3 linked regions of the Anolis sagrei genome follow. The protein of the gene in region 1 purifies or fractionates together with the protein of each later gene. This does not show direct contact. Links are inferred from orthologs where the notes say so. Each region holds a gene or a part of one and is shown on either strand. Other genes may lie near its edges. The genes, in order: SIRT6, G3BP1 and USP48.

What was found.
Region 2: the proteins of SIRT6 (region 1) and G3BP1 purify together in Homo sapiens (affinity purification with mass spectrometry; 3 studies listed by BioGRID and IntAct, with this or other methods). This does not show direct contact. The link is inferred for Anolis sagrei from reciprocal best matches to the Homo sapiens genes SIRT6 and G3BP1.
Region 3: the proteins of SIRT6 (region 1) and USP48 purify together in Homo sapiens (affinity purification with mass spectrometry; 3 studies listed by BioGRID, with this or other methods). This does not show direct contact. The link is inferred for Anolis sagrei from reciprocal best matches to the Homo sapiens genes SIRT6 and USP48.

The regions. Positions count from the first base shown.
Region 1 is NC_090034.1:29,081,313-29,088,604, reverse strand, and holds the start of SIRT6 (NAD-dependent protein deacylase sirtuin-6), read left to right. Parts: upstream 1-4,194; 5' UTR 4,195-4,442; coding exon 4,443-4,508; intron 4,509-7,208; coding exon 7,209-7,292. UniProt on the Homo sapiens protein: NAD-dependent protein deacetylase, deacylase and mono-ADP-ribosyltransferase that plays an essential role in DNA damage repair, telomere maintenance, metabolic homeostasis, inflammation, tumorigenesis and aging.
Region 2 is NC_090022.1:84,248,858-84,255,863, forward strand, and holds the start of G3BP1 (ras GTPase-activating protein-binding protein 1), read right to left. Parts: upstream 3,072-7,006; 5' UTR 2,929-3,071; intron 1-2,928. UniProt on the Homo sapiens protein: Protein involved in various processes, such as stress granule formation and innate immunity. Plays an essential role in stress granule formation.
Region 3 is NC_090033.1:9,935,947-9,942,962, forward strand, and holds the start of USP48 (ubiquitin carboxyl-terminal hydrolase 48), read left to right. Parts: upstream 1-3,973; 5' UTR 3,974-4,059; coding exon 4,060-4,193; intron 4,194-7,016. Other genes in the region: HSPG2 (basement membrane-specific heparan sulfate proteoglycan core protein), read left to right, coding at 671-843.

The sequences.
Region 1 (7,292 bases):
GAGACCCTGCTCTCGATCCCGCCTGCTTCTCAAGCTCGGCTGGCGGGGACGAGAGATAGGGCCTTCTCGGTGGTGGCTCCTCGGCTGTGGAACGCCCTTCCTACGGACATTAGACTAGCACCATCTCTAATGGTATTCCGCAAAAAAGTGAAGACCTGGCTGTTTGAGCAGGCGTTCCAATAATTAGTGCAATGATTGGTTAATGAACACTGGAATGGAACAATGGACGACGAATCTGGAACATGTTTTTGATGACGAGACGACAGTGAATGGGTATTGTAGTAACTGTTTATTAATTGTGTAATGTGTTAGGTTGTTAACTGTTTCTATACTGTAGCACTGAATTTTTGCTGTTCGTATTTGTTGTGAACCGCTGTGAGTCGCCTTCGGGCTGAGAACAGCGGTATATAAGTAAGGTAAATAAATAAATAATAAATAATAGTTCACCTACATCCAGAGAGCACTGTGGACTCAAACAATGATGGATCTGGACCAAACTTGGCACAAGCACTCAATACGCCCAAATATGAACACAGATGGAGTTTGGGGGAAATAGACCTTGACATTTGGGAGTTGTAGTCACTGGGATTCACAGTTTACCTACAATCAAGGAGCATTCTGAACCCCACAAATGACAGAATCGGGGCAAACTTCCTACACAGAACCCTCATGACCAACAGAAAATACTCAAGGCCATCCAATCCAACTCCCTTCCTCAGGGCAAGAAAACACAATCAAAGTCCTCCTGACAAAGGGCCATACAGCCATAGATATAGATAGATAGAAAGATAGATATGATTCGCACACACACAGATATAGTATCATAGATTTGAAGGGGACCCTTAAAGAAGGACAATGATATGTTGCATGTTCCAGGGTGGGCAAACCAGACACTCTCCACATCAACACTGACAAAGAAACAATAAGAAATACTGTTTACCCACAAGCATAAAGAAATTACATATATTAGAAACCAACACTTTCTCATTACTTTTTTTTCCAGATCAACAGACTGGGCCACAGCAACGCGTGGCAGGGGACAGCTAGTATAATATATAATAATACTGCAACGTAGCAATACTAATATGTTAAATATAATTACTACTCATAATATACAATACTGTTTTATTTTTGTATATTTGTAGATTTGAAGTTGTAATGTTTTGATTGTGAGCAGCTTTGATTCTCCGTATGGAGAGATAAAGCGGGATATAAATAAATAAAATAAAAATATTATTAGTAACATTACATGTTACATATAATATACAATTACCTGTCCGAACGTATCTCCTGCTATGAACCATCATGAAGCTTAAGATCATCAGAAGAGGCCCTGCTCTCAATCCCACCACTCTCGCAAACGCGGTTGGTGGGGACGAGAGACAGGGCCTTCTTAGCAGTGGGCCCCCGTCTGTGGAACTCTCTCCCTAAGGACATCAGGTTGGCCACCTCCCTCCTGTCCTTTAGAAGACAACTGAAGACCTGGCTCTGGGGCCAGGCGTTCGATTAGAGGCCAGCGGCAATAGGAAAAGGAAATTTGGATTTTGTGACATGGATTCCCCTGGCTTGGCTTGGTTTTTACTGACACGTTAATCTATTAATTTATTGTTAAATCTTACTGGTGATGTACAACGTTTTAAAATGATTTTATTGTGAATTGTAATTTTATGGTATTTATGCTGTTAGCATCCTCTGATGCTCATGTGAGGCCGCACTGAGTTCCCCTTGTGAGGAGAAGGGCGGGATATAAATATTTTAAATAAATAAATATTATATATAGACCAATCTCCCTGCTGTGCCACCTCTACAAAGTTCCGGAGAGACTTATTCTGCATAGAATTATGGAAAAAATAGACCCATGTCTGATTCCACAGCAAGCTGGCTTCAGGAAAGGCAAAAGCTGCACATCGCAAGTGCTGAACCTGACTCAGCACATAGAAGATGGCTTTGAAAAGCAGCAGATCACAGGAGCTGTCTTCATAGACCTGTCAGCGGCTTATTATACTGTGAACCACCACCTTCTCCTGAGAAAAATGTATAATATCACAAAGGACTACCACCTCACCCGTCTCATAGGAAACCTGCTACAAAACAGGAGCTTTTTTGTTGAGTTCCAGGGCCAGAGAAGCAGATGGCGGAAACAGAAGAACGGCTTGCCTCAGGGGAGCATGCTCGCTCCATCCATGTTCAAAATCTACACAAATGACCAGCCACTGCCAGAAGGGACAGAGAGTTTCATCTCTGCTGATGATCGTGCCATCACCGCCCAAGCAGGGAGCTTTGAGATGGTTGAACAGAAGCTCTCCGAAGCTCTAGGTGCTCTAACTGCCTATTACAGGGAAAACCAGCTGATTCCCAATCCATCTAAAACACAGACATGTGCCTTTCACCTTAAGAACAGACAAGCATCCCGAGCTCTGGGGATTACCTGGGAAGAAATCCCACTGGAGCATTGCAGCGCACCCAAATACCTGGGAGTCACTCTGGACCGTTCTCTGACCTACAAGAAGCACTGCCTGAACATCAAACAAAAAGTGGGTGCTAGAAACAATATCATATGAAAGCTGACTGGCACAACCTGGGGATCACAACCAGATACAGTGAAGACATCTGCCCTTGCGCTATGCTACTCTGCTGCTGAGTACGCATGCCCAGTGTGGAACACATCTCACCACACTAAAACAGTGGATGTGGCTCTTAATGAGACATGCCGCATTATCACAGGGTGTCTGCGCCCTACACCACTGGAGAAATTACACTGCTTAGCCGGTATTGCACCACCTGACATCCGCCGGGAAGTTGCAGCCAATAGTGAAAGGACCAAGGCAGAGACATCTCCAGCTCATCCCTTGTTTGGGTATCAGCCAGCACGTCAATGACTTAAATCAAGAAATAGTTTTCTTAGATCTACAGAGACACTCGCTGGAACACCTCAGCAAACGAGAGTTCAAAAGTGGTAGGCTCAAACCCAGCACCTCAATCCGTGGGTGATACCAGATGAGAGACTCCCCCCTGGGCACTCAGAAGACTGGGCGACTTGGAAGGCGCTGAACAGACTGCGCTCTGGCACCACGAGATGCAGAGTCAATCTTAAAAAATGGGGCTACAAAGTTGAATCCACGACATGCGAGTGTGGAAAAGAGCAAACCACTGATCACCTGCTGCAATGCAACCTGAGCCCTGCCACATGCACAATGGAGGACCTTCTTGCGGCAACACCAGAGGCACTCCAAGTGGCCAGATACTGGTCAAAGGACATTTAATCAGCTACCAAGTTTGCAAAATTTGTGTGTTTTTTAATCTGTTTGTTTGTTTTGTTCTGTTAGAATTGTAATACAATGTTCTGGTTGCGGATGACACGATAAATAATATATATATATATATATATATATATGTATGTATATTACATTGTACTATATTATTATACCACAATATATCTAATACACTATCAGTATATTATACTTTTAGTATTATATTATATATTGCACTCTATCATCAGTTCATTTATTTATTTACGACAATTATATGCCACCCTTCTCACCCCAAAGGAATTCAGAGGCTTACAAGAGATATATATATATATATATATATATACACACACACACACAATATATTATATTATTAGTATAGTACAATATCATTATTAAATATTACTATGTTGTACTGTAACATTATATTGTACTATTATTAGTAATATTACATGTAGTATAAATATATGATTATAAGATATTATTAGTAGTATTGTATTATATATATAAAAACATTTTTAATATTATATATAAGATATTAGTATTTTTACATTGCAATGTTACTAAAGAGGCCTGAGAGAGGCTGCTTTGCCTTACCTGCCTCCTCCAGCTCCAGGCGTCGCAGCCTTTGTGCGTCACGCCTCCCCCTCCCTTCCTCTTCCCTCAGGCCCCGCCTTCTTTTGTCACCTAGGCTTGCCTTCTTTTTTCTTCCGCCGTCTTTCTTGAGGGCACCTTCTCCTCTCTCACGCTGATTATTTCAAATCTTTGCGGCACAAAACCAGGCCAAAGTGTTTCTGCGACTCCGACTCGCTCCTTCCCGCCCGCTTTCCTCCTTCGAGCGAGACTGGAGGGAGGAAAAAAAAGGAGAAGCTTGCCCCTAGTTAAGATGGCTAGTGAAGCTTCGGGTTTTTGCCTCTTGCGCCTGCGCAGTTGTCGATTTCCCTGACCAAATCCAAGATGGCAGGGGAAGTTGCCTTTCGTTCAGGTTACTCCTGTAGCTTCGAGTTTGTTCCTCTTCCTCTAGTCGTCGCTTTCCTTGACCAAATCCAAGATGGCGGGGGATTTCTTTCTGTGAAGAGGTTGCGGCTGTTCGAAGGGAATATTTCCGGCTTCTCCGACCGGAAATGAACAGGAAAGGCTTGGGGAAGCTTGACTGAGAAGAAAAAAGAGAAAGAGTGGGAAGAGGAGGGAAAGATGTCGGTTGATTACGCGGCGGGCCTGTCGCCGTACGCGGACAAAGGCCTGTGCGGCCTACCGGAGGTGAGTGAAAGTAGCCCCCCCGTGGGGTTGCCATGGAAACACTCCATTGGAAAGACATCTGGCTCGCTGCCTGGGAGGTCTAGTAGTCCATATTGGAATATTCAACTTATTATATACATATATTGTAAATATTATAAATGTGCATATATAGCTTAAACAATAATCTATATAAATAAAAATGGAATGTTCGTTTGCGGGATTAACAGAACTCAAAAACCACTGGACGAATTGACACCAAATTTGGACACAAGACACCTAACAACCCAATGTATGTCCTTCACTCAAAAAAATTGCTTTTGTCATTTGGGAATTGTAGTTGCTGGGATTTATAGTTCACCTACAATCAAAGAGCATTCTGAACCCCACTAATGATGGAATTGAACCAAACTTGGCACATACTTCTCCCATGACCAACAGAAAATACTGGAAGGATTTGGTGGGCAGTGTCCTTTGGTTTTGGAGTTGTAGTTCACCTACATCCAGAGATCACTGTGGACTCAAACAATGATGGATCTGGACCAAACTCTATACGAATACTCAATATGACCAAATGTGAACACTGGTGGAGTTTGGGGAAAATAGAATCATGACATTTGTGAGTTGTAGTTGCTGGGATTTATAGTTCACCTACAATCACAGAGCATTCTGAACCCCACCAACGATAGAATTGGGCCAAACCTCCCACACAGAACCCCCATGACCACCAGAGTGGGCCATAGCAACTCGTGGCAGGGGACGGCTAGGATAGTACAGAGTATTTAAAATATATAATATTAAATTTATTATATATATTGTAAATACAGTATGTATGTTTAGAATATAATAATATTAAATTTATAATATATATAATATAAATACGGACTGTATGTTCAGAATATATATTATAATATTAAATTCATAATATATATTATTAATACTATATGTAATATAAACAATATTATAGTATATACATATATAAGTACAGTTTCTATATAATATATTAAATTTATAATATAGGTTCTATATTTAGCATATAACATATATGAAACAGTGTACATATATATTATATACATATGTTGTATAAATAATATATTTTATGTTACTATGTAACTATAAGAATATGCATTCATAACATAAATATATAATATGGTAATATAATATGTACTATATTCAGTTTTAGTTTATATATAATATAACATAATAGTATATAATAGAATATACACATATCTATGTAATATATTATATAATTATTTGCACTTTTATATTATATATGATATATAATATACACTTTGGTTATATTTATAATATATAATTTTATTTGATTATTATATGTATACAATGTAAAATATAAATTATTCACTTTTATTACATGCTAGCCTGGGGACCTGGTGATGCCGGAGTTATTAAAAGAAGGCATTGCTTGTTTTGGGATATTAGGTAATATCACTTAAGTTTGGTCCAGATCCATCATTGACTGGGTTTGGTGCTCTCTGGATAAGGGAGAACTACAACTCCCAGATTCCCAGGGCAATAATCTCCTAACACAGTTACCTGAATGCAGGTGAAGTACAACTCCCAGATTTCCAAGTCAAATCCACAAACCCTTGCAGTATGTTCAGTTGGTCATGGGCCTTCACTGTGCCAAGTTGGGTCTCTGTCCATTGTCGGCAGGGGTCACTGTTCCTCTGGATGCAGATAAACTACAATTCCCAAAATCAAGGTCCCTGAACTTCTCCAGTATGTTCTGTTGGTCATGGGGAGTCTGTGTGCCTAGTTTGGCCAGGTCTGTCATTCTTGGGGGTCACAGTGGTCTGTTGAAGTTGAAGCTGAATTGGATGAAGGTACTCCAAATCTCATCATCTGTGGTCCATCCTCCCTCAAACTGCACCAGGACCGGAGGGGGGGGGGGTGTCTGTATGCCAAATTTGGTCCAGATCCGTCATTTGTGGGGCTACACCACCACATACATACCCACATACAAACACTGACTTCTCCCCAAACCTCAATAGTATGTACAGTTGCCAATCAGTTCCTCTGTTTGCTGTGTGCCATAGAAAAAGGGTAAGGGAGAGGCATTTGGGGGGGGGGGGTCATGCAAATTCCACACCAGTGGAGAGAGTCAGAAACACTGGGATATCTGTGGTGGAGGAAACACATACAATGTAGGATGGAATTGTCCCTGAATGAAAGCCTTCACTTGGGTGGAGGGCAGTACGGTGTTGGTGGCAGGGCTCTTGAACATGTTCATGGTGCTCACTAACCTGCAGTGTCATTGGAGGGAGGGCCATTGGTGTCTCCTGAGTAGTGGGAGCTATAGCTGTTTGTGGAAGTAGGAGCCTGTCTGTGAAAGTGGACACCCCAGCCACATACACACATACATATTTTCACTTTTATTGTGTGTATAATCTTTGCGTAAAGATATAGATTTCAAGCATTACTTTTTGGGACTACAACTTCTAATGAACAGGAGTCATTGGACCACACTTCTTCATCATGCTGTTCTTGGGTTCCATCTAAAATCAGGCTCTGGGAAAAAGCTGGGAAGTGAGAGACTTTGTTATTATTTGCTTTCAAGTTGTTTCCAGCTTAAGATGGTCACTCACTGCTTCGGAGGATGCATTCCCTCCTTTCCTTAGGCTATATTGACTCCTCAAACCACAACGTTTGGCTCTCTTGTATAGCATTAATTGCATTTTCCCTTTCTTCTCATTTACTGTCCAGTCCTTTGACACTCCAGATGAACTGGAGGAGAAGATCTCTCGCTTGGCAGACCTTATCCGGGAGGCTTCCAATGTCGTCTTTCAC
Region 2 (7,006 bases), on another chromosome or scaffold:
AGGAAGTCAAAACATTTTTATAATGTCAGACTTTTAGAAAATGACTAGGGTAGATGTGTGTTGCATTTTATGCATTTTTTGAATTCCAATGCTTTAAATAAAAATTGTTTGACTGTTTTTAAATAACCGAGTAATACTTTTCTTTACAGTCTCTATATGGTTTTTAATCTTTATCGTTTTAAATATGTTAGCCACTTTCAGTTTTATTATTGGGAGTAAGGTAGAATATAAATTAATAGTGAGGGAGGAGTACTGCAGGACTAATCCAGGAAAGCTCTGCATCCAGTATCTTCATTTCTGGGGCACATGATCAAAATGGATACATAAATGCTGTATTGGCTGGAAATAAGCTGTCATTTTACTTCCTGTTGAAACTAATGGAGGAAAAAGGCAAGAAGAGAGTGAAAATTGCTCTATATATATACACACACACACACACACACACACACAGCTCATTCTGCACTGACATACATCTGGCAGGGGCTGGAAAGTTGTGGCTCCTCTGCCACAGACTGACCCCTGAGCTCTGACCTTTATGGGATTGCTATTACATTATATTTCCACTAATTACATAAGAACTCACTGAGGGAAAGGAAGCCTCAAAAGTTGCAACTGAAAAATACATTATACTGAGCAACTCTGCAGCATCAAAAATTTGAAAGCATACATCTTCTGTACCAAGAGGAAAAATAATTCCAAGCCAATTAATAAATGCCTAATATGACTTTTAATCACTACATTCCACCGTTCTTAAAAATTCAAGATTCACTTAAGTTTGAATTAACCATTCCAAAGGTATTGTTATACTACAATTGTCATATTCTATTAATATGAGCTACTGGGGGAGTGGGAGTCTAAGCTATAGGAATCCCAATACTGGAAAAGTATAGTGCTGTAGAGCTCACTTAAATATGACTTTGTCCAAACAATAATGACAAAAAATGAGTATTTCTAGAGGACTGCTTGACCACATGCAGCTTTGTAGAAAGTGCTCTTTGTTCCTTAACTTTTTTATATTATCCATGTGCTTTTTCAGTTTCTGGGAAGGGAGGAGGTGAGAATTCCAAGTGAAAATAGTCCTATGTAACTCATGAGGTGCTCCTGAATCTACATCATAAGTGAAACTACATCATAAGGGAAAATACACAATTAACCATCTTTATTTTCTTAATTCCTTCTGATCACATACTTTATTTTTATTTTCAATAAATTAATGAGAAACAAGATTGTAGTATTCCCTTTATAAAAACAGAGTTCCAACTATAGGCATTTCTTACTCTGAGAAATGCTAGAAAGTATGGACAGCAAAAATAATATAACTGGTCCAGATGATGTTTATTATAACCCCATCCACTTTGCTTATATGCAAGCAAAAGACAATTCAATCACTGTTAAGGGCTCAATATTAAAACACAATACAAGCCTGTAAAGTGCTTAGAAGAGACAAACAATGCACTATCATGTCAATCTTTAACACTACACTTCTCAAAGAACTTCAATATAATTTAAACATAAGATATCCTCCATTTTAAAGAAATACACACATATATAAAGCTCTTTAACTAAATAGCATGACTCTTCCATCGATGATTGACCACAGCCTTTCACATGACCCTAAAGTAGCAGTTCACAGAATAGGGAACACCTATCTGCAAACTTCAGTAGGTCTGCCTGCAGTTCCTAACCTTGTGCCATGCCTGTGAAAAAAAGAGGATAAAAATAGCACAGACTGGAAGCACTGCCCCTTGCTACAAATACCCTGCAGTAGATTATGATGCTGCCACCTGACACGGTGTAAGTATATATATCTGCGTGTGATGAACACCAATTTCACTACAGATTTTCATGCTCAAACTAACACACACACTGAACAATCTTTCCAAGGGTACTCAAGTGTCCAACTTAGTTAAGGAAAAGATAGAAAATATGTGCATCGACCTCTTATTACTGCTAAGCCTGACCTTGACAAATGTCCTCACTGGTACAGACACGCTTTGGTCTAGTTTTGCGGGGATCTATTCTGTATTTTAAAATACTAACAATCCATCTCTGAAGCAAAAGGGTTTGATTTTCTGCTGGCTATACTGCTAGAACAAAGCCAAGGAAACCCCGACATTGGGTACAATCCGAGGCCAACGAAAGAAAAGAAGCCAACGCTGGACCGCCCAAGGGAAGGGACAAAAGCTTGCCGCTCTCACACAACGAGGCGGCAATGAACCCGCTTTGCGGCCCTGCCTCCTTTGCCAAGGTTTCCTTCCCTCGCCACTATTGTCCTCCGGATTGCAGCGGTTTCTGTTAAGGTGAATGGTTGGAAGGGGGAGGCGAGGCGTCTGTTACACCTCCCCCGATTTCCGCCCCTTTTTAGGAAGCCTTTGGCGGGGCGGTTTCCCCCAAAGGCGCGAGAGGAGCCCACAAGCCAGGCCCTTCCAGGTTTTCAGTCACGATTCGGGCCCTCCGCTATTCAGAGGTCCTCGAGGAGGGGGGGGAAGCACTCGATCTGGGCCAGATTGGGATCCTCAGTCACTCCCGCCACCCCCTTTCCAGAATCCTGAATGGAACTCTCCTCTTGGGCCTCACGAATTCCTGTTAATAGACCTCAGCTCGCTTAGTAACGGCGCGGCTTCAGATACGCAACGCGGCCCGCTCCTTTTTTGGCCGCTCTGCCACCCCTTATCCCGGGCAGAACCTCTTCCCTCGCTGCCGAGGGGGGAAGGGGGAGCATCGCCTCCTCAACGCCAGAGCCAAAGGCCCACTCAATGTGCTCGTCAACCCCCCTCTCCCCCAATGTGTAATGGTTTCGCCCGGCGCCCCCCAGTCAGGAAAGGCCGCGCGGAGCCCGCGTGTCTATGGCGACGGTGACGACAAAGGCGCGCCGCTCGCCGGCTCGTGAAGGACGTGACCCAACGGCTTTCCCCCTCTCGCACCAACCTGCGGGCGAGGCGGAGATGGGCGGCGAGAAGGAGGAGGTTTCACTCCGTGCGAGGCAGACAAGCGGGCGAGCCGAAGGAGACGGGAAGCACCTCACGCAACAGCGTGCTCTACCGCCGGCTAAATATACCTCGCGCGTAACCTAACCCTGTGGCACGCTCGCAACCAGTCAGAAGCCGGCCCTCTCCCCAGCTCGGAAGCTGATAGGCCAGCTGGAGGAAGAAGGGGCAGGCCGCGTTCGGAAAGGCAACTGGATCGACGAATCTGGCTGCGGATAACGTGAAGCCGGTTTCTCTGACAGACAGGTGTTCTAGCCAATAGGTGTGGAGCGCAGACCTATTAAGGCAGAGTCAGGAGTCGACGGATCTGGCAAACACCAATGAGACGACGCTCCCCGCGTTATTAGGAGTGAGAACCCGCGGGGGCGTGGCCACGCTGCCCGCCAAGGATAGGTGCGCTGCACAGTGGGAACCCTAGGAATCGAGGACTGGAAACCCCGTGCGAGGAGAGGCGGGCTGAAGACGAGCGCCGGTCGCCGGGCCCAATTGCCAAAGGTGTTATCCCGTGATTGACAGGAGACGGAGTGGCGTTTCTTAAAGGGAAAGGCGTTGAAAATATTCTGCCGCTTCCGAGCAGCGGGAGAGGCTGCGTGCGCGTCCTCGCCTTGCTCTGGGTAGTCTCTTCAATCACCGAATGAGTGCCTGGAACTCATTATAATCCACATTAATACTATGTCCCATGCTGTGCCATACCATACACTCTGTATTGATTTGGTATTGCATCAAATACAGAAATTTAAAGCAAACTAAGACAGTTTTAACACCTATTGTGCAAACAGCTTTGTGACTCCAGCACGCAATTTTAGTTAAATGGCAGTCAAAAAACTTCTCAACTTAATGAACTTTACTAACAAGCGTCGAATTGCAACAGGCATGCCAAGTTTACACGTTTCTGCTAATCTGATTTTATTTTAATTTTTATTCAAAGAATTATTCCTTCGATTTCTCTTTTGCTGTTTACTCGTGAGTACCACCGTTTGCCTGCGTTCTGGTTAACTGAGAGTGCACTGTATTTGAGAACAAACGAGCCAAGGAGTCCCCTGGATTTGAGTGAACCTTGTATACACTGGACCTTGAGGGGTTTTCTTGTGGCAGCATGCACATATGTTCATGTATGTGCATTCAAGGCACTGGTCGCCTCCCATCACCAAAGATGACCCTGCTTAGCTACCAAGATCTAATGGGATCCAGTGCCTTAGGGTATTTAGGTAACATATGCACATGCCCACCAACATGTCATAGACCAGGGGTCCTCAAACTAAGGCCCGGGGGCTGGATGCGGCCCTTTGTGGTCATTTACCCGGCCCTCACTCAGGGTCAACCTAAGTCTGAAATGACTTGAAAGCACACAACAACAACAACAACAACCCTATTTCATCAGCCAAAAGCAGGCCCACACTTCCCATTGAAATACTAATAAGCTTATATTTATTAAAACTGTTCTTCATTTTATTTATTTATTTATTTATTTATTTCTTGCATTTATTGACCGCCCCTCTCAGCCCGGGGGCGACTCGGGGCGGTGAACAACAACAAAGAAGACAGTGTACAGTGAGTCAAGACGATACAAACCAGACAAATACAACATAACATATACTTATACTAAAAATCCGCTTCGTCAAGTCCTGGGGTCATAGCCGAAATTCGTAGTCCTAATTCATTCCAGTGTCAATTTAACTACACTCAATTGAAGGCCTGCTCGAAGAGCCATGTTTTTAGGCCCCTACGGAAGGCCATCAAGGAGGGCGCCTGTCTAACTTCAGCAGGGAGAGTGTTCCACAGTCGGGGGGCCACCACCAAGAAGGCCCGCTCCCTCGTCCCCGCCAGACGTGCCTGTGAGGCGGGCGGGACCGAGAGAAGGGCCTCCCCGGATGATCTCAAGGCCCTCGTGGGCTCGTAGGCCGAGATGCGGTCTGCAAGGTATTTTGGGCCGGAACCGTTTAGGGCTTTGTAGGATAACACCAGCACCTTAAATTGGGCCCGGTAGCAGATCGGCAGCCAGTGGAGTTGGGACAGCAGAGGCGTTGTATGCTCTCTGCGTCCAGCTCCCGTTAACAACATGGCTGCCGCGCGCTGGACTAGCTGAAGCTTCCGGGCCGTCTTCAAGGGCAGCCCCACGTAGAGAGCGTTGCAGTAGTCGAGGCGGGATGTGACCAAAGCGTGTACCACCGTGGCCAAGTCAGACTTCCCAAGATACGGGCGCAGCTGGCGCACGAGCCTAAGCTGTGCAAATGCTCCCCTGGTCACCGCTGAAACCTGGGGCTCCAGGCTCAGCGATGAGTCCAGGGTCACACCCAAGCTGCGAACCTGCGCCTTCAAGGGGAGTGCGACCCCGTCCAGCACAGGCTGTAACCCTATACCCTGTTCGGCCTTGCGACTGACCAGGAGTACCTCTGTCTTGTCTGGATTTAATTTCAGTTTGTTCGCCCTCATCCAGACCATTACAGCGGCCAGGCACCGGTTCAGGACTTCGACGGCCTCCTTAGTAGCAGGTGGGAAGGAGTGACAGAGTTGGACGTCATCTGCGTACAGGTGACACCGCACCCCGAAACTCCGGATGATCTCACCCAGCGGCTTCATGTAGATGTTAAACAGCAAGGGGGACAAGATGGATCCCTGAGGAACGCCACAGGTCAACGGCTGCGGCGTTGAACAGGAGTCCCCCAATAACACCTTCTGAGTACGACCCTCCAGGAATGACCGGAGCCACTGCAGAGCAGTGCCCCCAAGACCCATCCCTGCAAGGCGCCCCAGAAGAATACCGTGGTCGACGGTATCGAAGGCCGCTGAGAGGTCCAGGAGCACCAACAGGGACACACTCCCCCTGTCTAGCTCCCGGCGCAGATCATCCACTAAGGCGACCAAGACCGTCTCGGTACCATGTCCCGGTCTGAAACCAGACTGTGCCGGATCCAGATAATCCGTGTCTCCCAAGAATACCTGGAGTTGTGAGGCCACCACGCTTTCCATGACTTTGCCCAAAAAGGGGAGATTGGAAACAGGCCGAAAGTTGTCCAATTTAGTGGGGTCAAGTGATGGTTTCTTCAACAGCGGCTTTATAACAGCCTGTTTTAGGCTCGCTGGAATCTTGCCCTCCCGAAGGGAGGCATTAACCACCACCGTTACCCACTCGGCCAATCCCCCTCTGGCCTCCTTAAGAAGCCAGGATGGGCAGGGGTCTAGGATGGACGTGGTGGGTCTCATTCCTCCAAGTATCTTGTCCACATTTTAATTATTGTATTGTTTTAAAGTGTTTTTTGCACTCCAGATAAGATATGTGTAATGTGCATAGGAATTCATTCATGTTTTTTTCAAATTATAATCCGGCCCTCCAACAGTTTGAGGGATTGTGACCTGGCCCTCTGTTTAAAAAGTTTGTGGACCCGTCATAGACCAAGCAATATCAGCACGTGACCAAAATGGCAAATAACAGGAATAATAACTTAATAATAAGCTATGAAAATGAGGGCCAGTTGGAAGAGTACTCTAGTGGAGGAACACTACAGCCACCCGGGCCTGTAAGAGCCACCCCTCCCCATTAATTTTTGCTACAGCCCTGCTCTTCCAGTTCGTAATATGGTAACAATGGTCAGATAGCAAATGAGTGCGTGCTGGAAGAAGCAAAGACCACCAGCATTGAAGCGATGGTCCTCCACCATCAACTCCGCTGGACCGGCCACATTGTTTGGATGCCAGACCACCATTTCCCAAAGCAATTGCTCTACTCCGAACTCAAGAACGGAAAACAGAATGTTGGTGGACAGAAAAAGAGATTTAAAGAGATTCAAAGCCAACCTTAAAAACTCTGGCATAGTCACTGAGAACTGGGAAGCCCTGGCCCTTGAGCACTCCAGCTAGAGGTCAGCTGTGACCAGCAGTGCTGTAGAATTTGAAGAGGCATGAATGGAGGGCAAAAGAGAGAAACATGCCATGAGGAAGGCACATCAAGCCAACCCTGACCGGGACCTCATTCCACCTGGAAACTTATGCCCTCACTGCGGGAGAAGATGCAGATCAAG
Region 3 (7,016 bases), on another chromosome or scaffold:
CTCGGCCCCCTCTGGCCTTTTCCTTTCCTCTCTTTGTCATCTCGGAATCTTGGAATTGAGGCTGGCCAATCAGAGACCATATGCAAATCTCCTTCTCTCATGTCTCCGTTTCTGTCATGAACCCTTTTCTCCACCAGGGGCTCCTGTAAAGCTGGCCAATCCGAGACCATATGCAAATAGCACCACAGTGGCAGCCAATCAGAATCTTGGAACTTTCAGGCTGGCCAATCAGAATGTTGGCACATACACTGCCACACCGCCACACTTTTGTCCTCCGCATACAAACTTTGACTTTTATTATATACATAGATAGATAGAGATAGATATAGATTACTAAACTCTGAGTACCATATACAAACTCTGACATAGAAATGTGACATTTCACACATTAGTATTCAAGGCAAAGACATTGCATTTGAACTATCTAGAGACAGCACACTTAAAACTCATCAAAGGGTCTAATAGTGGCTCATGGAGTCTGGTCTAAAATGGAGTCTGAGCTCAGATTAGTCCCAGATCCGATCATCCCTCAACCTCAAGACACATATAGGGAAAGCTGCATGTCAAAACATACATATACAATACAGTAAGCAAACAGAATCATATACAAACAAATTACTAGAGGAGGCCATTTCCTACAGCGATGATGCCCCTTTTCCCCTTTCTGCAGGCGGTGCCCCCGACCCGCAAGCACTGACGGCTGGCAAATACACCTCGGGGATCTCGGGGTGCGTCAAGAATGTGTTGCTGCGCAACGAGAGGCCCGGCCATCAGCTGCAGGCGCCGGTCGACCTCCATCACCAGGCGGAGGCCGGCGTCAACGTCCAGGAGTGCCCCTCGTAATGGGGGGCACCACCACCGCCACTCTCCGGGATGCCTTTTATGATTATTATTATTGTTATTATTATTTTTCCAACTGAGAGGACTTCTATTATTATTATTTTATGATGATGATTTTTTTAACAGAGAGAATCACACAAAAAGGTGCTTTGCTGCTACCAAAAAAAATACGGGGGGAGGCGGGGGGGTGTGTGTTTTGTGTCTACGGCCAACACGAGGAGATGAGCGTCCGAAGAGGGCTTTGATGCGCTCCCTCCATCCAGAGGGAGGAATCGGGAGCGTCCTGGGTTAGTAGCCGAACCTCCCTTCGCTCTGCCATTAGTTTCCTGGACTCCGGAGAGGCTTCCCAAGCAAAGCCGCAAGCTTGTTCCGGCGCCCCGGAGGGCTAACCACTGCCTTGACGCTTCCCCAACTCCTCCGCCAGTGCCTTACGAGGAAGAAGATAGGCGCACAGGGCTTCTTTGGCCGCACTCTTACGGCTCGCGCTGCGCCGGACAAGGCCATCCGCGGACTCTTCCCCTTCGCCGATCCCCTTTGGTCTGGTCTGCACTGAGTGAGGGCTCGCCTTGACCTTCCTCTCCTCCCGCTTCAGCCAAAGAGCAGGACGGCGGTTCCAAAGATGCCCGAAGAAAGCCTTCTCCAACGAACCGTCATGCCAGTCTCTGGCTCGTTTGGACTCGGACCACGAGCCTCCGTCGGCTTCTCCGGCTTCCTTTCGAGAGTCAGAAGCCGCCTCCGCCGCTGCCGCACTGCCCTTATCCCTCGTCCCCGGCCCCCCTTTTATTCGTATTCTCTTTTCTTAAATAAATGGTGCTGAACCCCAAGAGCTGGGGACGTGTCCGAGCCTCCTTCTCCGAGTCCTTTGCTTCTTCCTAAATCCAGACAGCGCTTCCTGGATAACCTCTCGCGGGAAATGATCTATCCCTGAACCGCTGCGCTCTGGATCGCAAGTGCCCTTTCACAGCTAAAACTCCCTTCAGTTGTGTGACCACATGTCCATTAGAACGGTATTTTCCACCCAGTTTTACACAATGAGTTTACAGTCAAGACATTCCTGTCTAGTAGTGATTTATAGGTTCCAAATCACAACTTCCCCAAACTACTGCTAGCTGGATAGCAAGTCCCAGAAACAAGCAAAAATATAGCAGAGTCCTTTCACAACACAACCGTGCTACAGCCTGTCAAAGCTCCCTGCTTCGGCAGTGATGGCACGATAGTCAGCTAGATGAAACCCTATATATATACACGGTTATATTGTGTATATGTGTGTGTGTATATTTGTGTGTTTATATGTGAACATCCCTGTCCCGACTTAAAAGACAATTGAGTCCAAAGACTCAATAAATTGAGTCTGAGAGGAACAAAAAGCATATATATATATAGCAAATAAATAATATATAATATATATTATAATATATAATATAGTAAACAAATAATATATAATGTGTAATAATTTAGCAAATAAATAATATATTATAAAATATAGTAAATAAATATATAATTTAGCAAATAAATAATGTATAATAATATAGTAAATAAATAATTTATAATATAGTAAATAAATAATACACAATAATTTAGCAAATAAATAAGGTATAATAATATAGTAAATAATATATCATAATATTGCAAATAAATAATATATAATAACATATAAAGACATATAATAATATAGTAAATAATTGTATTTAAAATGCAAAATTTTATATTACAAATCACATTATTTATATTTTCTCATGTCATAGTATATTATTTATACTTATTTTACTGTGCAATTTAATATGATGCCAAACAAAATTGACATGAAATACACTAAATATTAATATATGGCATAATACAAATAATGTCATTTTAAATATATTCCGCTTTAGAAAAATATTAGTATTATTATTACTAATTATTATTATTATTATTAGTATAATTAATTATTATTTAATACGAGGGAAAGTTTGCGACTAGTTGCGCATGCGTGGCAAAAAAAGGGCACTCCAAGCAGTGCGCATGCGCCTAGCATTCCCCCCTCCGACCTTTTGTGGGCGGAGTAGAGCAGGCGGGAGAGAGAAGGACTCCGCCCCCTTTGGGCCGAACGGACCAATCCGCTTCGGGCAGTGACGTCATGATATGAAGTTAGAAGTGAGGGGCGGGGCAAATGAGCACACCAACCAATCGGCTTCGAGTCGCGACGTCGGGGCGTGGCCTAAGAAGCACGAAATAAGGGGCGGGGCCGGTGCGCATGAGTTGTGACGTCAGACGTAACCCGTCGGAGCTTGGCCTATGTCGCCTCCGGGGTACAAATGGGCCAATCAGATTCGACGTACACAATAAGGGGCGTGGCTTACGTAGCGCGGGCAAACGCCCTTTGCGCAGAAGGAACCAATCCGCGTCTGGCGTTACCCATTCGGGGCGTGGCCTATGCAGATCTCTAACGGCCTTTGCGCTTCAATTCGTGACGAAAAGGGGCGTGGCCTATAGAGAGAGTGCGCCGAATGGACCAATCCGCTTCAAGTCGTGACGGAAAAGGGCGTGGCTTATAGAGAGAGTGCGCCGAGTGGACCAATCCGCTTCAAGTCGTCACGAAAAGGGGCGTGGCTTATAGAGAGAGTGCGCCGAGTGGACCAATCCGCTTCAAGTCGTGACGAAAAGGGGCGTGGCCTATGGAGCGAGTGAGCCGAATGGACCAATCCGCTTCAAGTCGTGACGAAAATGGGCGTGGCTTATACAGAGAGTGCGCCGAATGGACCAATCCGCTTCAAGTCGTGACGAAAAAGGGCGTGGCTTATAGAAAGAGTGCGCAGAATAAACCAATCCGCTTCAAGTTATGACGAAAAAGGGCGTGGCTTATAGAGAGTGCGCCGAGTGGACCAATCCGCTTCAAGTCGTCGCGAAAAGGGGCGTGGCTTATAGAGAGAGTGCGCCGAGTGGACCAATCCGCTTCAAGTCGTGGCGACAGGGGCGTGGCCTGGAGAGAGAGTGCACCGAATGGACCAATCCGCTTCAGGCGTAAACGCGGGGCGTGGTTTATGTAGCGCGCGTGAAGCCTCGTCGAAGGAACCAATCGGCTTCGAGCAGTGACGTCAGGCGCAAGCCATTTTCTGCGCGGAAAGAGCCAATCCGCTTCGCGGGTCGACGTCACTCCGTGTACGGCGGGCGAGGAGGGCCGCTTTTCTTCCTGGCTTCCGTTTCCGGCTGGCGGGGCTTCCGGCGTCGAGGGGTGAGGGGATGGCTCCGCGGCTGCAGCTGGAGAAGGCGGCCTGGCGCTGGGCCGAGGAGGTGCCCCCGGAGGCCGTGACCCAGGAGCACGTCGAGGCCGCCTACCGCGTCGCCCTCCCGGCCTGCCTCCGCGCCGCCTGCCGGTGAGTCCCTCAGTCCGCGAGGGAAAGAGGCCGGCCTGCCTGCCTGCCTGCCCCGTAGGCCTCAAGGCCGGGCCCACGCCTGCCCTCCAGGCCTCGCTTGGCCACTCCTCCATCGCCCTGAGGATGTCCCTTTGTGCCCTCATCACCACCATCACCATCAGTACATTGTGATTGTTGCTATTAATAAGTGCATCATTATTACTATATATTATGAGGATGGTTGTTAATGATTTATATATATTATATATATATATATATATATTGTGTTTGTATGTGTGTATATGTGTATATTGCCTTCGACAATATATGTGTAGATATATTTGTGTATCACAATAATATAATACAATGTTTGTGTGTGTATATATATGTGGGTGTGTAAGTGTGTATATATTTGTGTGTATATGTGTATTTGTGTGTGTATATATGTGGGTGTATATGTGTGTAAGTGTGTATATATTTGTGTGTATATGTGTATTTGTGTGTGTATATATGTATGTGTATGTGTGTAAGTGTGTATATATTTGTGTGTATATGTGTATTTGTGTGTGTATATATGTATTTGTATGTGTATGTGTGTAAGTGTGTATATATTTGTGTGTATATGTGTATTTGTGTGTGTATATATGTGGGTATATATGTGGGTGTGTTTATATATATGTGTGTGTGTGTGTATTTGTGTGTTTATATGTGTACATTCATAATGTACATATGGACCATAATGACAGATCTGTACATGCATATTGTGTATATGTGTATATATATTTGTATATATTTGTGTTTGTGTGTGTATATATATGTATGTTAGTGTGTATATATGTGTGTGTGTATATATTTATGAGTTTATATGTATAAAACAGTGGATGTGTCTGCTGCTGAGTATGCATGCCCACTGTGGAACACATCTCATCATGCTAAAACAGTGGATGTGGCTCTTAATGAGACATGCCGCATCATCACGGGGTGTCTGCACCCTACACCACTGGAGAAATTACACTGCTTAGCCGGTATTGCACCACCTGACATCCGCCGGGAAGTAGCAGCCAATAGTGAAAGAACCAAGGCAGAGACATCTCCAGCTCATCCCCTGTTTGGGTATCAGCCAGCACGTCAACGACTTAAATCTAGAAATAGTTTTCTAAGATCTACAAAGACACTCGCTGGAACACCTTAGCAAGCGAGAGTCCAAAAGTGGCAGGCTCAAACCCAGAACCTCAACCAATGGCTGATACCAGATGAGAGACTCCTCCCTCCCCCCTGGGCACACAGAAGACTGGGTGACTTGGAAGGCGCTAAACAGACTGCGTTCTGGCACCATGAGATGCAGAGCCAATCTTAAGAAATGGGGCTACAGGGTGGAATCCACGACATGCGAGTGTGGAGAAGAGCAAACCACTGACCACCTGCTGCAATGCACAAGGCCACATGCACAAGGGAGGACCTTCTTGCGGCAACACCAGAGGCACTCCAAGGGGCCAGATACTGCTCAAAGGACATTGAATCAACTACCAAACTCACAAATGTTGTATTTTGTCTGTTTGCTGTGTTCTGTTAGAAATGTAATATAAATGACTGGTTGCCCTGGCATGACAAATAAATAAATAAAATAATATGTGTACATGCATATTGTGTGTATGTGCGTGCTTGTCTGTAGGCATATTTGTGTGTATATATGTATGTATGTGGATATGTATATGTGTGTGGATGTTTATATGTATATATGTATGTATGTGTGTATATGTGTGTTTGTGCATATATATATATATACATACGTGTGTATATGTGTGCATGTGCATATGTATATGAGTATGTGTATATGTTTTTATGGTGTATTTTTTTGGGTTTTATGTCTGTTCCGCACATGTGCTTGTGTGTTAATGGGTGATGGACACCCGAATTGGTGTCAATTCGTCCAGTGGTTTTTGAGTTACGTTAATCCCACAAACGAACATTACATTTTTATTTATATAGATAATGTAATGCAACATGATAATAATAATAAGGTAAAGGTAAAAGGTAGTCCCCTGACATTAAGTCCAGTCATGTCTGACTCTGGGGTGTGGTGCTCATCTCCATTTCTAAGCCGAAGAGCCAGCGTTGTCCGTAGACACCTCCAAGGTCATGTGGCCGGCATGACTGCATGGAGCGCCGTTACCTTCCCGCCGGAGCGGTACCTATTGATCTACTCACATTTGCATGTTTTCGAACTGCTAGGTTGGCAGAAGCTAGGGCTGACAGCGGAAGCTCACGCCGCTCCCCGGAATCGAACCTGCGACCTTTCGATCAACAAGCTTAGCAGCTCAGTGCTTTAACCCACTGCGCCACCGGGGGCTCCAGTTATTATTATTAATATTGTTAATATATATAATTAATATTATAATAATAATACAATAGTATAATTATATATTTAATATTACATGTGGTATTATTAATAATATAGTATAATGGTATAGTACAATATAGTGATATAAAATACTGATATTGTACTATGCTAATAATATAATATATTGTATGTATATATATTTCTCTCCCTCCTTGGCTGTCCTTTATCATCATTATTACATTGTTATTGTTGTTGTTAGTACTATATTATTATATTATTATTATTATATATAATTATATACTATTATGGTTGTTAGTGTTTTATACTTGAGTGTGTGTGTGTGTATATATATATATATTATAGTTTTCTCTCCCTCCTTGGATGTCCTGTTTTTAGCCTTATCTTCATCATTATATTTTTATTGTTGCTATTAGTATTATATTATTGTGGTTGTTAATGTTTTATACGTATGTGTGTGTGTATGTGTATATATATATATATAT